Linked DNA regions of Diceros bicornis minor. The protein of the gene in region 2 purifies or fractionates together with the protein of the main gene of each other region. This does not show direct contact. Links are inferred from orthologs where the notes say so. Each region holds a gene or a part of one and is shown on either strand. Other genes may lie near its edges.

The links.
Region 1: the proteins of EIF2AK2 (region 2) and ZNF346 purify together in Homo sapiens (affinity purification with mass spectrometry; 3 studies listed by BioGRID and IntAct, with this or other methods). This does not show direct contact. The link is inferred for Diceros bicornis minor from reciprocal best matches to the Homo sapiens genes EIF2AK2 and ZNF346.

Annotation. Positions count from the first base shown.
Region 1 is NC_080740.1:90,263,523-90,271,581, forward strand, and holds the start of ZNF346 (zinc finger protein 346), read left to right. Parts: upstream 1-5,048; 5' UTR 5,049-5,098; coding exon 5,099-5,273; intron 5,274-8,059.
Region 2 is NC_080751.1:46,995,171-47,002,396, forward strand, and holds the start of EIF2AK2 (interferon-induced, double-stranded RNA-activated protein kinase), read left to right. Parts: upstream 1-4,218; 5' UTR 4,219-4,414; intron 4,415-7,226.

The DNA of each region.
Region 1 (8,059 bases), on a different chromosome or scaffold from region 2:
CCGAGGGTACAGCCGTCAAGAATGAGATCAGTGCCCTTATGAAAGAGACCCCAGAGATCTCCTTCACCACGTGAGGAAAGAGGGAGAAGAAGGCTGTCTATGAACCAGGAAGCAGGCCTTCACCAGACATCACATTTGCCGACGCCTTGATCTTGGACTTCCCAGCCTCCAGAACTGTGAGAAATAGTTGTTTAAGCCACTCAGTCAACGGTATTTTGTTATGGAAGCCCAAATACTACAGGCACATATGTAGTAGGCCCTAAATAAAGCCTGTTGATTTGATGTGACTCAAACTACTATGCCATTTCAAGATCTATACTGTTTCTTGGCAATCCTTCGGTAGAGATGACAAAGCTTCGTTGGATCATCTGAGTCCATTCTAGATTTCCTTGGATACATTAAACTAAACTAAATCACTCTGATCTATAATCAAATGCACAGATTATTAATTGAAACTGGTTCTAGAAATTATGGAGAAAAGTGGGATTTAGCTGATACAGTCTCTACTAAGATGGAGACTAGAATCTAACATCAATTTATTAAATTATCAGAAAAATATAGATTTCAGAATAAACTGGTAACAACCACAATTTACTATGTGCCAGGCAATATGCTAAGTAGTGTATGGAGATTATTTCAGTTCATCTTCACAACTACCATTTGAGGTGAGTATCATTTTCTCATTTTACAGATGAAGAAGTAGACTCACAAATGTTAAATAATTTACCTAAGGTCACATAGGTAATGAGTGCAGACTGGAGCAGCTGACGTCAAGCTGAGTACCTCAAGCTTTAACTGATGGCCTGTTTATCTCTCAGAGATTATTGTGGTTAATCCCCATCCTGCCTGCCTCAGACATCATTAGCATCTAAGACATCATGGCCATCCATCACACCTCATATGGTTCTGAACATCCACCCATCTGGCCCCAGGGGTGGCCCAGCAAGGTCTGGACTCACAGTCCCTGGGCTGCCACTAGCGTGATGAGAAGCAGCAGCCTTATCTGTTTTCTCTAATTTGCCAGACATGGTCATTTTCTAAGTAGACTGTGATATAGGAAAAGTTGGGAAGCTCTACTTGAATCTAGTCTAATCTTCCTCCTTCCCCTCTTTCTCAAAATCCTCTGGACATCCCAATCTATGATCAGCAAATTCATCTGTCCTGGGAAAGTTGCTGAATTAAAACCTGGCACCCCCTGAAAACACTGCTTCCCTACAGCCCTGAAGACACTATAAAATGAACTAGCCTGAGAAGGATTGCAGCAAAGATGTGCTCTCTCAGAGTGTGGCTTTTCCACGGTTTTCCTCAGGAACACCCCTGCTGTTTTGGATCAATCTCAGGTTCTGAGTCGAGCATCACTTGTTCACGTCCTGTTAGTAAAACCTAGTATATGGCCACTTCTAACAGCCAGAGATGTGTTCGTGGAGCTGAGAAGTAAAAAGCCTCATATGGAGTAACCCAGACACCATCACGATTCCCACAGCTGTGGCTTCGTTGTCCCACCCCATCCACACTAGCCTTAGTTGTTGTATTAATCATGTTTTTTATTTTCTGTATTTTATGATGCTTTGACATCTTGGGGCCTTATAGACTGGGATGGAAATGCCCCTCTCAGGGTTAGCTAATTCCTAGAGATAGCAAACAACTTACCTTCAAGCATACCTTTCATATGCAAACCAACCAATCCAAAACCAGTAGCCCCCAACCACCTCCTTTATCTAACTCTAACACACCAAGCCAATATTCCCTCTGCCTTACATCATCACCCGAGGGCCAGGTACCAGACAGCTGGGGACTACCCTATAGCCTGGAGCCCCACTGAAATTATCCAAACTAGCCAATCCTAAACTGCTTACCTTACCTCACCCATCACTTCCTGCAGAAACCACAATAAAGGCTCTGGGCCATGCTCTCCCCTCACTCCTTCTGCCTTCTGACCAACACTGTTACTTCTCCATATGGCCCTGCATGGCGTGGCGTGACCCTTTCTTTTGGGAACTGTGCATAATGAAAATTTCAATGACATTGAACTCCGGTGTTATCACTCAGTCACCTCTATAAATTAAATCCTGGGTATAATCAAAACAGTTGTCACTTCTATTATAGTGGGTAACATACTCTCTGATATTACGTATACAGTAGATACTTTCATCTCTAGAGTTTAATCTCCCTGAGAGCAGGAACTGTATTTTACTAAGCTCTGTAGCATGCTTTTGAGGGCACGCACACACACACACACGGAGTCAGCGTTTATTCAACTGAAATGTCTGTTGAACTGTGGCCAATTCCTGCTCCTTGGCAAAGTCATTTCCCTGAGATTGTGCTTCTCCCATAGCAACAATACACAGTAGAGTATGTTGGGAAGTGGTTCTCATTTTCCACAGGGAAGAAATAAAAAGCCAGCCCCACAAATACAAGGCATCACCTGTACTGTCAGGTCTCAGCAAGGAGTCCAGGCCTGGGCCATTACTGGAAGCACTTACATGAAGACAAAAGCAGAAAACTAGTGACAATAAGGGCTGTTCAGACACTCAGTGCTGTGGCTCAGGACTCTGCCTCAGTGGCACAGGGGACAAACCATGACTGTATTCACTGGAGAATAAATGGAAATTATTTTGAGCATCTAATTGGATTGAGAGTGGGGGGAGAGACTGTTTTCCAGTAACATGTACAGTATTTTAAGTACATACTCCACTCCCAGGATTTGCTCCATTGTGTTAAAAAATATCCTTGTGAATTCTCGGATTTTAACAAAAATGCCCTCTATCCCTTCGGATTTCTTGCTGAATAATTCATGCTATGCAAATATGGGTAACTAGAAATCTTCTTTGAGATAAATAGGTATAGTCATTGGCTTTTAGGATGGTCATCTGGTGTTTGCAAAAAGACATGGATTTGCAGTCTGAGGACCAGTGGTCAAGCATGGGCTCTGTCACTAATCACCTATACAACCCTGATAATACCTTTACCTGTCTCTGTTTCTTTTTTTTTTTTTTTTTTTTGGTGAGGAAGATTACCCCTGAGCTAACATCTGTTGCCAATCCTCCTCTTTTTGCTGAGGAGGATTGGCTCTGGGCTAACATCCGTGCCCATCTTCCTCTACTATATGTGGGACACCTGCCACAGCATAGCTTGATAAGCAGTGCATAGGTCCGCACCCGGGATCCGAACCTGCAAATCCCGGGCTGCCGAAGTGGAGCGCACGAACCCTACCACTTTGCCACCTGGCCGGACCTCTGTCTGTTTCTTTATTGTTAAATATGAAAGAATCCCTCATAGGAGAACTACCTTGAGAAATAAATGTTACAATGTCTGTTAAAGGTGCTTCATAAACTGTAAAGCACTACATAAACATTAGTCATCTATTGCATTGGAAGCTCCAGAGCCTGGCATAAGGCCTGACACAGAGCTGGTCCTCAATATTTGTGGTATAAGCTAGTAAATCCCACTGATGAGCCCTGTGATCTCAGGCAAGAAAAATCTCTGTCTCCATCTCTCTTTGGCCTTCTCTGATACCATTTTCTCCCATGTTTACTGGGTTTCAGCCATACTGTTCTTTTTCCTGTTCCTCCAACACAGCAAGCTCACTTCTGCCTCAGGGTTTTTGCACCTGCTGTTTCCTCTGCCTGGAACATTCTTCCCCAGCTCTTTGCATGGACATCCCCTTCTCATCAATCGGGGCTTAGGTCATATGTCTTTTCTTCAGAGGCTTTCTCTGACCACCCTACTGTTCCTTGCAAATCATTCATACAATATGTATTCCTGTTTTATTTTCTCCTTAGTACTTACTACTATCTATTGGCTTGTTTCTTACACTCTCCTCCACTCTACTAGGGCTTCCCTGTTGGTCTTATTCATCACTGTATTCCAATGCCCAAACGACATCTAGCTCATAGTAAACTCTCAATAAACACTTGAATTAATGATATTGAAATAAAATAATTATATTAAAAGCCTCATTTTATATATTACATATTTTGTATGTACCTATGAGGGTCCAGGCTCTACTTCAAGGTCCTGGGGATTCACCTGAGAACAAAATAGACAAAAATCCCTGCTTTCTTGGGACTTGCCTTCTAGTGGGGAGACAAACAATAAGCAAGATAAAAAGTAAAATATATGTCTGACAATGATAAGTGTTAAGGAGGAAAAAAAATAAAGTAGGAAAGGAGAACATGAAGTGTGTGTGGAGGGGTAAAATTTTAGATAGGGTAGCCAGAGAAGGAAATGAGAGACCGAGCCATGAGAATACTATATGGAGGAAATGCATTCCAGGAGGTCAGGGTAACTAGGACAGGAATGAAGGGGTTGGAGGCTAACACAATAGGAGATGAGGTCAGGGAGGTTAAGGGAAGTCAGATTGTGTAGGACCCTGTTGGCTAAACTAAGGACTTCGGCTTGTAGAACAGTGAGACAGTAAGGTGGGAGAATCTGAGCACCGGGGCGTCATGCATGATACGGCTTGTCACAATAGGATTGCTGGGGCTGCTGTGCTGAGAATACCTGATGGGCAAGGGAAGGGACCAGCGAGGACTCTACTACAATAATCTTGGCAAGAGACAGTGGCTGGGGGAGAAGTAGCTACGTTGGAGAGAAGTTGAGGGGCAGGTCTGGGCTGGGGATTAGCACCTGGAACTCAAATGTTATTTATGATTAGCAGTAACAGAATCATAGAGATGGAGTCTCTGCTCTACCACTTACTAGTAGCAAACTCTTGAGTAAACCATTTCTAGGTTCTGGGCCTCAGTTTCCCTACCAGTGAAATGGAGAAAATATTCCCACATAACAGGGCCTTCATGAGGACAAAATGAGAAGTGTCAACGGCTGACTGTGAGAACTCTGTGCCAAAGAACGCACGAGCCGGTCCCGAAAGGAAGGGTCGGCTGTGGAACCACCGACTGACTTGCAAAACCACAACACACGCTCGGAGGTCCCCACAGCAGCGAGTGAAAACAAGCTCCCAGCCCGACGCCGCAACGCGGTCTGAGAAGCCCAAACCTCGCGAGATTTGTTGGCCACGCTAAGTCCCTCTCCCACTCACATCTCGCGAGACCCAGACTCAAGAGTGGCCATCGGCCGGTTAGGGCTTGCGGGGAAGATGGAGTATCCCGCGTTGGGCACTGCGGAGGCTGCGGACAGCGGAGGGGCCCGGCTATACAACAGCTCGGAGGAGCGGGAGGGCCGGGAACCGGACGGGCTGCGCTTCGACCGTGAGAGGGCGCGTCGCCTGTGGGAAGCAGTGTCCGGGGCTCAACCAGTGGGGAGAGAGGAAGGTGAGTCCGGGGGCCTCAGAGGCAGGAAGCCCCCTCGTCTGCCTGCCCGTTTCGCCCGGAGTGGGGGAGGCGCGGGGCGGGAACGCGGGCCAGCCGCCGGGCCTCGGGGTCACACCTCCTGGCGCCCGGCCCGCCCCTTTGCGTGACGCGCCCCGGGACTCCCTGACTCGTGCAGCCTGTCAGGGCCTGGGCACCGTGGCCAGCTCCCCTGAAAATCGGGGCCGCGGGACCCCAAGATTCAGGCCTCCTCGCGCAGTGGGTCCAGGGCCTTCTCACGCTCGGGCCGCCTTCCTCACCCCCCGGAGAGCAGCTCTTCCTAAACGCGAGGACTGTCATCCTTGTCCACGCCTTCTCGGAGACCCACAGTGCCTTCCCCGCCAGACTTTCCCGGACTCGCCATCGTCCCAGTCTCCAGGTCCTCCCCACCGCTACTGCCTCTTGCCTCCCTTCTCTTATGCCCCACACATCCGAAGGCTCTGGAAAGCCTTCTCCTTACTCCCATGTTCCTCCTGGCCTAGGTGACTGAGCCCTGGTTCATCCCTGTTTCTAGGTGTCTGGTCTCTATTAGCTGGATCCCTTTTCTGAGATGGGGGTCAGGAACCTGAGAAACTGGCCAGGGTACTTGGGCTCCAGCTTCTTTGTATCCCACCCTTGACCCAAAGTTGTGGAGAACAGGATACACAAGGCTACCCTGGGGCGGGGCGGGGGTGGTGGGACACTTCTGGGCTGAAGCTTCCCAACTTGGTCCGCATTTGACCTGGCCCTGGCTAAGATGGAGATCGAAAGAGGAGGATGGAAAGAGCTGGCCCGACTTGGTTGTGTGACCCCCTTCACAGTCCTTAGCAGAGCTAGCTGTTTAACTCCAACCCAGAAGTACACAAACTGTCTGGGCTTCTGTGCTAATCCTGTCAGGTAATCTGCAGGGAAATCAGATTTCTCTAAGGTTTATTTCCTTGCTGAACAGACTAATCTTGAAAAGTTTAATATGTTGCTTGTGAATTCATTGCCCTGGGATAATATTGAATCTTTAACCACATCCAAGGAAGATATGTTTAAATTTTGGGTGGTACACAGACCTATACCATGGTATAGGTAAACTTCTCCAGTTTAAAAACTAGTCTAATCTGACTCCTAAATTAATGTGGGGCCCTGTGTCCCTCATACTTTCAAACTTGTTTGGTACAAAGTTCCCTCCTGCTCTCACAATTTTCCTTTCATTAATTTAACGTTCACTGATGCCTGCTCTCTTCCCAGGACTGGCTGGGCATCAGAGCCATGGAGATGAGGAAGATACTGTCCTTGCCCTGGAGGGGCATGTAGTCTAGTCCAGCAAGCAGGCACTAAAACAGTTTCAGTATAATGTAGTGGATGCGGTGAAGAGGAATGTCTAAGAGTTGGGGGTGCACAAAGAGGAAGTGACTTTTGTTCTTAGGGGACAGGGAAAGCATGCTCTGGACCTTGAAGTAGGGAATACAGCAGCTATGCTCTGAAGAGTGAATTGTTTATGTGTGTATGAATGTACAGTGTCACTTGCCACCCAGTTCATTTCCCTACCCTCCTCACTTCTCCAATGTTTATATGAGGTTTAGGTAGATACCTCTAACACCCAAGTTCTACTCATCTTGTTTTTTTTTGTGTGTGTGTGTGAGGAAGATCAGCCCAGAGCTAACATCTGCCAATCCTCCTCTTTTTGTTGAGGAAGACTGGCCCTGGGCTAACATCCGTGCCCATCTTCCTCCACTTTATATGGGACGCCACCACAGCATGGCCTGACAAGCGGTGCGTCGGTGTGCGCCCGGGATCCGAACCGGTGAACCCTGGGCCGCCGCACTTAACCGCTTGCGCCACCAGGCGGGCCCCCTCATCTTGGTTTTTTTTTTTTCCTCTAAGCACTTTCATTGAGTTAAAATTTACGTACCATAAAATTCACCCATGGTAACTGTACAATTCAGTGATTTTTAGTAAAAGTGCAGAGTTGTGTAGCCACAATCCAGTTTTAGAATATTTCCATCATGGGGGCCAGCCCCGTGGAGTAGCAGTTAAGTACGCGCGCTCTGCTGCTGGCAGCCCGGGTTTGGATCTCAGGCGCGCACTGAGGCGCCACTTGTCAGGGCATGCGGTGGCGGCGTCCCTTATAAAGTGGAGGAAGATAGGCGTAGATGTTAGCCCAGGGCCAGTCTTCTTCAGCAAAAAGAGGAGGATTAGCATGGGTGTTAGTTCAGGGCTGATCTTCCTCACACACGCAAGAAAAAGAATATTTCCATCACTTTAGTTAGTTCCTTTTATACTCCTTTACATTAAATCCCCACTCCTACCTTCTGCCCTAGGCAACCACTGATCTGTTTTCTGTCTCTATAAATTTACTTTTCCTGGACATTTTCATATAAACAGAATCATTCAGCATGTAGTCTTTTGCATTTGACTTCTCTGACTCAGCATGTTTTTGAAGTTCAGCCAAGTTGAAGTGTGTATTAGTATAATGTAGTGTGTAGTGTGTATTCCATTGTATGCACCTTAGTTTTTTATCCCCTGACAGTCTCTGTCTTTTGAGTGGCTCTTTATACTATTCACACTTTAATTATTGACATGGCTAATTTGCATTTTCCATTTTGCTATTTATCTCCTTTCTGTTTTGTTCTTCTCATCCTCCTTTATTGGCTTCTTTTGTGTTAAGTATTTTTTAGTGTACCATTTTAGTTCCTCTGTTGACTTTTTTTTTTTTACTTTTTTTAAGTTATTTTCTTAGTGGTGCTCCAGGGACTACAAGATGCATCTTAACTCATCAC
Region 2 (7,226 bases):
AGAAATTTACAAACTAAATTGAAAGGACTCAAATAAAATTACAAATGAAAGAAGAGACATTACAACTGATAACATAGAAATACTAAGGATTGTTAGAAACTACTATGAACAATTATATGCCAACAAATTAGATAACCTAGGAGAAATGGATAAATTCCTAGAAACATACCACCTACCAAGACTGAATAATGAAGAAACAGGAAATCTGAACAGACCAATTACTAATAAAGAGATTGAATCAGTAATCAAAAACCTCCCAGCAATGAAAAGTCCATGATCAGGTGGTTTCACTGATGAATTCTACCAAACATGTAAAGAATTAATACCAATCCTTCTCAAAATCTTCCCAAAAATTGAAGAGGAGGAAACACTTCCAACCTCATTTAATGAAGCCAGCATTACCCTGATACCAAAGCCAGACAAGGGTACTACAAGAAAAGAAAATTATAGTCAATATCTCTGTTGAACATACATGCAAAAATCCTTAACAAAATATTAGCAAACCAAATTCAACAATACATTAAAAGGATCATACACCAGGGTCAAGTGGGATTCATTCCAGGGATGCAAGGATGGTAGAACATATGTGAATCAATAAATGTGATACACCACATTAACAAAATGAAGGATAAAAATCATATGATAATCTCAACAGATGCAGAAAAGGCATTTGACAAAATTCAACATCTTTCATGATAAAAACTCTAAACAAAGTACATCATTGTGTTTCTAGCACAGTGCTGCACATAGTAGGCACTCAATAAATATTTATTGAATAAATTAATGAGATTTTTTTTCCAAGAAGGTTTTTTTAGAATATCAGATCAGTTAGGATGCTTTTGATGCAGCAAACAGAAAATCAAACACAAATTGGTTTATAGTAGAAAGGAAAAGAGGTAGAGGGCTCTTATCACTGACCAGTCTAGGATGAGTCTGGCTTCAGGTGAGGCTTGATCCAGAGCTCAAGCAAGGATCTGATTCTTAATCTTCACTTCTCAACTTTATTCCCTCAGCGTAGGCTCCATTTTCAGGGCGGTTTCTCCTTGTTCAGTACTAGAAACAGAAACCACTGTAAGTATGTCAAGCAGAAAGATTTAGTAGGAAATGAACACATAATTGTTAGAAGGGATGGCAGAATGGAAATCAGGAGACTTCCAGTGTAGCTGCCATCCAAAGTTCAAGACCCTGCCACTGCCACTGCTGCCATCACTGCTGCCACCACAGATGCCCCATACCCTTGGAGAACTGAGAAGGGTAGCTGGAGTCCTGCTCCTGCAAACACCCCTGGGCCTGAGAGCTTGCCTGTCAGCCCGTTCTGTCACAGAAAGATGGCCTTCTCTTCCTTTCTGTCTTCCAAATCTTGCACCACTGCTCATCAGTCATTGGCAGAATTCAAATTATATCTCGAATTTTAACTCCCTAGAAATCTGGAAAATGTGGTTTTAACCTTCCACACATTATAACCCAGGAGATGAGGAGACACAGAAGGGAGTGAGAATGGAAACTAAATAAAAATTAACAGTATCTAATATAGTCCACCCCTTTTACCAATAATCTTTCAAGCAAATGACAAAACTATTCTCCCACCTAATGAAGCTGTTCCCTCCTTCAAATGAAAACATGCTTATCCTATCCCCTAAATCTCGATACTCATTTCTACATGATGTCCCTTCCTCTTCTATTTTAGTCACAATCCCACCTTCAAACACTCTTACCTAAAGACTATCTTATAAAATGAACCACCATCAACAAATCTCATGTAAAAGGAAAGGGAAAAACAATCAAAAGAAGTTCATTAATACATATAAAAACAAAGCAGGAAGAAAAAATGTGTAGGTTCTATGGTCCTTTATTCTTCAACTGGTCATGAGACCATAGTCAGTTATAACTTCCTTATTTATTGTTCCCTTTGCCCTCACACACCTGCCCAGCTGGTAGAGTGACACAAACCTTCAATCCTGAAGCATCTGAGCCCTTAACAGTCTGGCCTGTGTTGGACAGCTGTAGATTTCCACTAACATTTATCATTGAACATGGAATTACTAAAAAGAACCTCAGAGAAACCCCTGGTTTGAAGACATACTCGTCCCTGACAGCACTGTGGCTGCATCACTATTTTCTCTTGGTAATTCGTATCAGTCAGCCCAGCCAGTTTGGTAACCCCCTTATTTTCCTTTTTTTTTTTTAATTATTTATTTATTTATTTATTTCCCCCCCCTCAAAGCCCCAGTAGCTAGTTGTATGTCATAGTTGCACATCCTTCTAGTTGCTGCATGTGGGACACGGCCTCAGCATGGCCGGAGAAGCAGTGTGTCGGTGCGCGCCCGGGATCCGAACCTGGGCCGCCAGCAGCGGAGCACGTGCACTTAACCACTAAGCCACAGGGCTGGCCCAACCCCCTTATTTTCTTGATGGCTTGATGGCATGATGAACCTGCAACATCCAGAAGCAGTTTCACCCACATCATTTTCCCCAGACCTCCGTGTCACCAACCCTCTGATCTTGTTCCTTCCAAATCTCTGAATATCCAGCTAAATTGCTAGCCACTGGTTCTGTCCAAGCCACTGGCTTTCTCTCCTTCCAAGTGACAACTAAATGTACTGCTCAAAGTTTTGCCCACTGGGAGGATTGCCTTTCTCCCACTATCTTTTAGGGCCACCTCCCAGAGGGGCTATAGTAATACATCAATCCACTTCTGATTAATGCCAGTGTATTGTGCTTCATTCAGATTTTTCTTTCTCAATCATCTGGCCACAGGCAACTCCACATGAGTTCACAGATGCGGGCTGATAGAGCAGGAGGGAGTGCCATGGGGATCTTAGATATTGCCATAATCACCACTGAAATCAGGGAGCTTTTTTCAATGGCAGCATCTCCCATAGACATTCCCCACCTACAGTGGCTGCCCAAGGACGCTGATGTTCCCCACTCCAATGTATTTCTCAACGAGTGGTGCAGGAGGGTCCTCTGGATCTTCTTGGGGGACATAGATAGGGAGTGAATGAATAGGTTACACACGATTAAAGATGGCTCTGCCTCCTGCCTGCCTTCCAAACCTCCCACCAGTGCTTCACATTTTGGGAGCTTAAATCATGCCCCAGGACCTGAGTGCTTCAAGGGAAATATAGTTTTTAGCCATTGATACTCTGCAATAGCAGAGAATATAGCAGAGAAGTAGGAAAGGATGCCCAGAGCTAGTGCCCAACAGTTAATGTATAGTTGAGGTCCATCCCGGGACCACCTCTCTCCCTCACCTCAGCTAAGATGTTGAGGGTGCTGACTCCTGGTTCTAAATCTAGCTCTGCCGCTTACTAGCTGTGTTAGTTAACTTCTCTGAGCCTCAGGCCTCAATTTTCTCATCTGTTAAATGGGCATAGTAACAGCACCTACCTTGCAGTATTGTTGTGAGCTAAGTCCTCAGACTCCTCAATCGCTGTGTCAGTGAGCCAGTATTACTGTGGGAGTGTGTCATAGTCCATTAGGTGAGTAGGATTTCTTAAAAACCGAGGACTACTGGTAAAGTCTTTGGTCGTAAACTCCATGAGGTGCCGCAGGGAGCAGGTGGCTTGCGTAACTGCTGGCCTGGGCGGTACTTGGTACAGCGGCTGGCAAGTAACTGGATGGATGGGTGGATACAGATTGAAGAAAGATTATGCCCTCTGGCCTCTTCATCCCCAGCCTTGTCAATGTGACGACAGGGAGGGGTGCTTTGATGTGCAGGGCCCTTCAATGGAATCCTGGCTTTGCCACTTTCCAGAGTCAGGACCCTGGGTGAGATAATTGACTCAGTTTCTGCTACTGTAAAATGGAGCCGATCATATCCACATCCCCAATCCCACCTCAAAGGTTTGCGTTGAAGAGGAAAGGGGATCGTTGATCCCAGAGCCCAGTTCAGCGAGCGAGCGCCTGGGGTGTCCTCCTCACCCTTGCCGGCACAGGGGCCAGTTACAACCCCAGACGCCGGGGTGGGGGCCGCCGGGTCCCGGGCACGTGGGCGCCGAGCCCGCCCCGCGGCCCGGGGCCAGTGCGGGCCTGTGCGGGAGGGGCGGGCGGCCGCAGCGGGAGGCGGAGTCCGCCGGGAAAACGAAACCGAGAGCGAGCGGCGCCGCTCCGGCCGGGCTTCCGCGGACAGCAGCGGCGCGGGTGAGCGGGCGGCAGCGGCGCGGGTGAGCGGGCGGCAGCGGCTGAGCGGGCGGCAGCGGCGCGGGTGAGCGGGCAGCGCCGGGGGCCGAGCGCGCGCCGTCCGCATCCCCAGACGCGTCCTGCGCGCCGGTGAGAGGCCCCCGACCCCCACCCGCAGCGCGCTCCGAGGCCCGCAGCCGAGGTGCAGGGCCCGTCCCGGATCTGGGCACCGGATCGTGCGGGGCAGTGGGAACCGAGAGCCGTTATCGTCCCGCGAAGCATTTTTATCCGAGTAAGTGACGAATAGCCCAGGCCCGGGTTGGGGGCGGGGGGGCTGGTGGAAAACAGATACGCCCTCTAACTTGACAGACAGATGGAAAATATGGAGGCCTGAATTACCCCCAAATTGCCTAAATAATCCCTAGCCAAAAATCTCTGGCCTGAACAGTAGCACTTGTCTCGCCATTCCCGGCCTTAGCCCCCGCCCGTTTCTGTAACCCGGCCCCCCAACACCGCAGCGGCCGGAGCGTTCCTGTAAAGCAGAACAGGACACTCCCCGGCTCACACCTCCCCAATAGCTTGCCATCTCGTCAGAATCCTATAAACGGTTATCGGCCCACAGGCAAGGCTCCTTGCTCCCTCCACTCTGACCACACAGGCCTCATTGCTGTTCTTGGGGTACAGCCAAGCACACTCCTGCCGCTGCGCCTTCGCACTGTCTGTTTCTTCTTCCCGGAAAGCTCTTCCCCCGGATGCCTGCAGGAGCCAGTCCCCCGCTCTAACCTGCGCTTCTTCCAGTGTCGCTTTATCAGAGCAGCCTTCCCTGAACCACCTGCATATAAAAGAAACCCCACCCTTCCCTCGCTGTCCCCGTTGCTCTGCTTTGGTTTTCAGCATGGTACTTAGCACCCTGTAGCATTTTTTATAGGCTTGTCCGTGTTCCTCCACTCGTAAATTCACAAGAGCAGGGTTTTGTTCGCTGGTATAATCCCGGCACCTAGTACATCACAGATGCTCATTAAATATTTATTTAATGAATGGCAATTCATAAATTGTCTTTTGAATTCTGGATTAGTGAGACTTCCTATTGCCTGTGATTTCTTTAGTATAAAGATACCTTGCCAGGTGGAAGCTAAAGGTGCACTCCCTGCTGTCACTCAGGAACCTAGAATCTTGGGCAGGTTATACTCTTGTTCTTCAGTTTGCTTATTTGAACCTGAAGATCCATAACACTCGACCTGTAGTTTATTCATCTCACTAATCAGGTACCGGTGGAATGTGTGTTGTATGCCAAGCATTGTGTAGGCCCTGGAGGGGCTGAGCCCCAGGGGGCTGCAGTCTGGCAGAAGGGATCAAGACTCCCAGCCAAAGTGGCTTCTGGGCATGAGTAAGATGGACATATAACACTTGTTTGTGATTATGGTGATTTCTTTTAGGAACATGGTAACACAGAATTAAAACAAGATTTATTTAAAATAGTTGAAAAGAAACCTACTGTTTCTTTTCTTCCAAACTTGTAAGTACTTTTTCAAACATACCAATTCAGCACCTTATTAGTTTACACATATATTTCACTTAGAGTCAGACTGGCTTGTCATTCTGATGATCAGCAGTTACTTAGAGTTAAAAGTGCTGAGGATTTAGAGCATTCGATAGGTCTTCAGGTTAAATAATTGCTAAGGACTCTTCCATAACTGCTGTTCTGAGATCTGTGACCCCCTCCAATTTGGTGTATGGTCTCATTGTTGTGACTAAACTGAATGACACTTTGGTTCCTGAAAATAATGGTGGTCTACGGAGCCTTATCTGAAACTCTTGGGTCAGGTATGTTCCTGTATTGAGAGATTTTTGGATTTTAGAAAGGCAGGGCAGCATAAATCCTATCTATTATATGATATTCTCAGCAGGATTTGGGGGCAACACTCTATAATAAAACACATTTCTGCAGGGAAGTGTATAGATAGACAACAAAGTATCATAAAGACTCTAAATAGCTCCTGTCAGTTCAGGTCTAGACAGGGGACTACAAACCCACTATAAACAAAATAAACCTCAGTTTATAGTGCTTTTTGGATTTCGAAATTATAGACCAGGAGCACCATTTATTGAAGCCAATGGTGTGGGGGACTCTGCTGGATGCTTTTCATCTGATTTACTCCTTGCAACAACCTGTGAATCACGTTTTCAGGTCACTAATCAAAGGTCCAGAGAGGATTTAGCCCAGGTCTGTGTGGCTCTAAAGCCTGACTCAGTCCACCACACTAGGCAGGAATGTGAAGGCGTTGCCTTTGCTCGGACTCCTGGCACTTCCAGACCCTGCTTCCAGCCACCACTGTTGCTCACCCAACCTCTGCAGCAGCCTCTACATGGTCTCCCTCCTTCTACTCATGCTCTGCTCCCCTTTCCACACCCAGCCCCGCATACTCTGTTCTTTACAAACATCAGTCATCGTTTAAAACATAAACCCAGTCACATCAGCCCTCTGTTTAGATCCCTCCAATAGCTTCCTATTGCAATTGGAGTAACATCCACAGTCCTGACCGTGACCTACAAGGTCTCTGTGCCGTGGCACCTGCCTGCCTTTCTGATTCATGTCCTACCCTTTCCTCCTCGTTACCTGTGCAGCACATCCCCTTGGCCTTTTTGTTATCCTTCCAAATGCTATGCCGGTTCCTGCCTCAGTGTTTCCTCTGCCTAAGATACTCTCCCCCAGATCTTGGTATGATGGACTCGCTCATCATTCAGGCTTGATTTCAGTGTTGCCTCCTAAGAAGGGTTTCCCCTGACCACTGTATCTAAAACCACTTCCCTCATATCTCTGCGCCCACCTACCAATGCACCCTCTATCCTGCACCCCTATTTAATTTCATCCTTCTGGTCATCCTCTCATCCTCTCCTTTGTTTGTTACTGGACGTGGTCATTTTCTTTCTTCCCTCGTTGGAATGCAGGTAGGGACTTGTTCACGTCTGTATACTCAATGTCAGAACAGTGCCTGACATTCGATGAGCATTTATTGAATGAGTGATGAAAGGATGCAAAGAAAACAGCAGATGAAGAAAAGGGAGAAGGTGAGGAGGTTTAAAGTGGAATATTTAATTTTAAT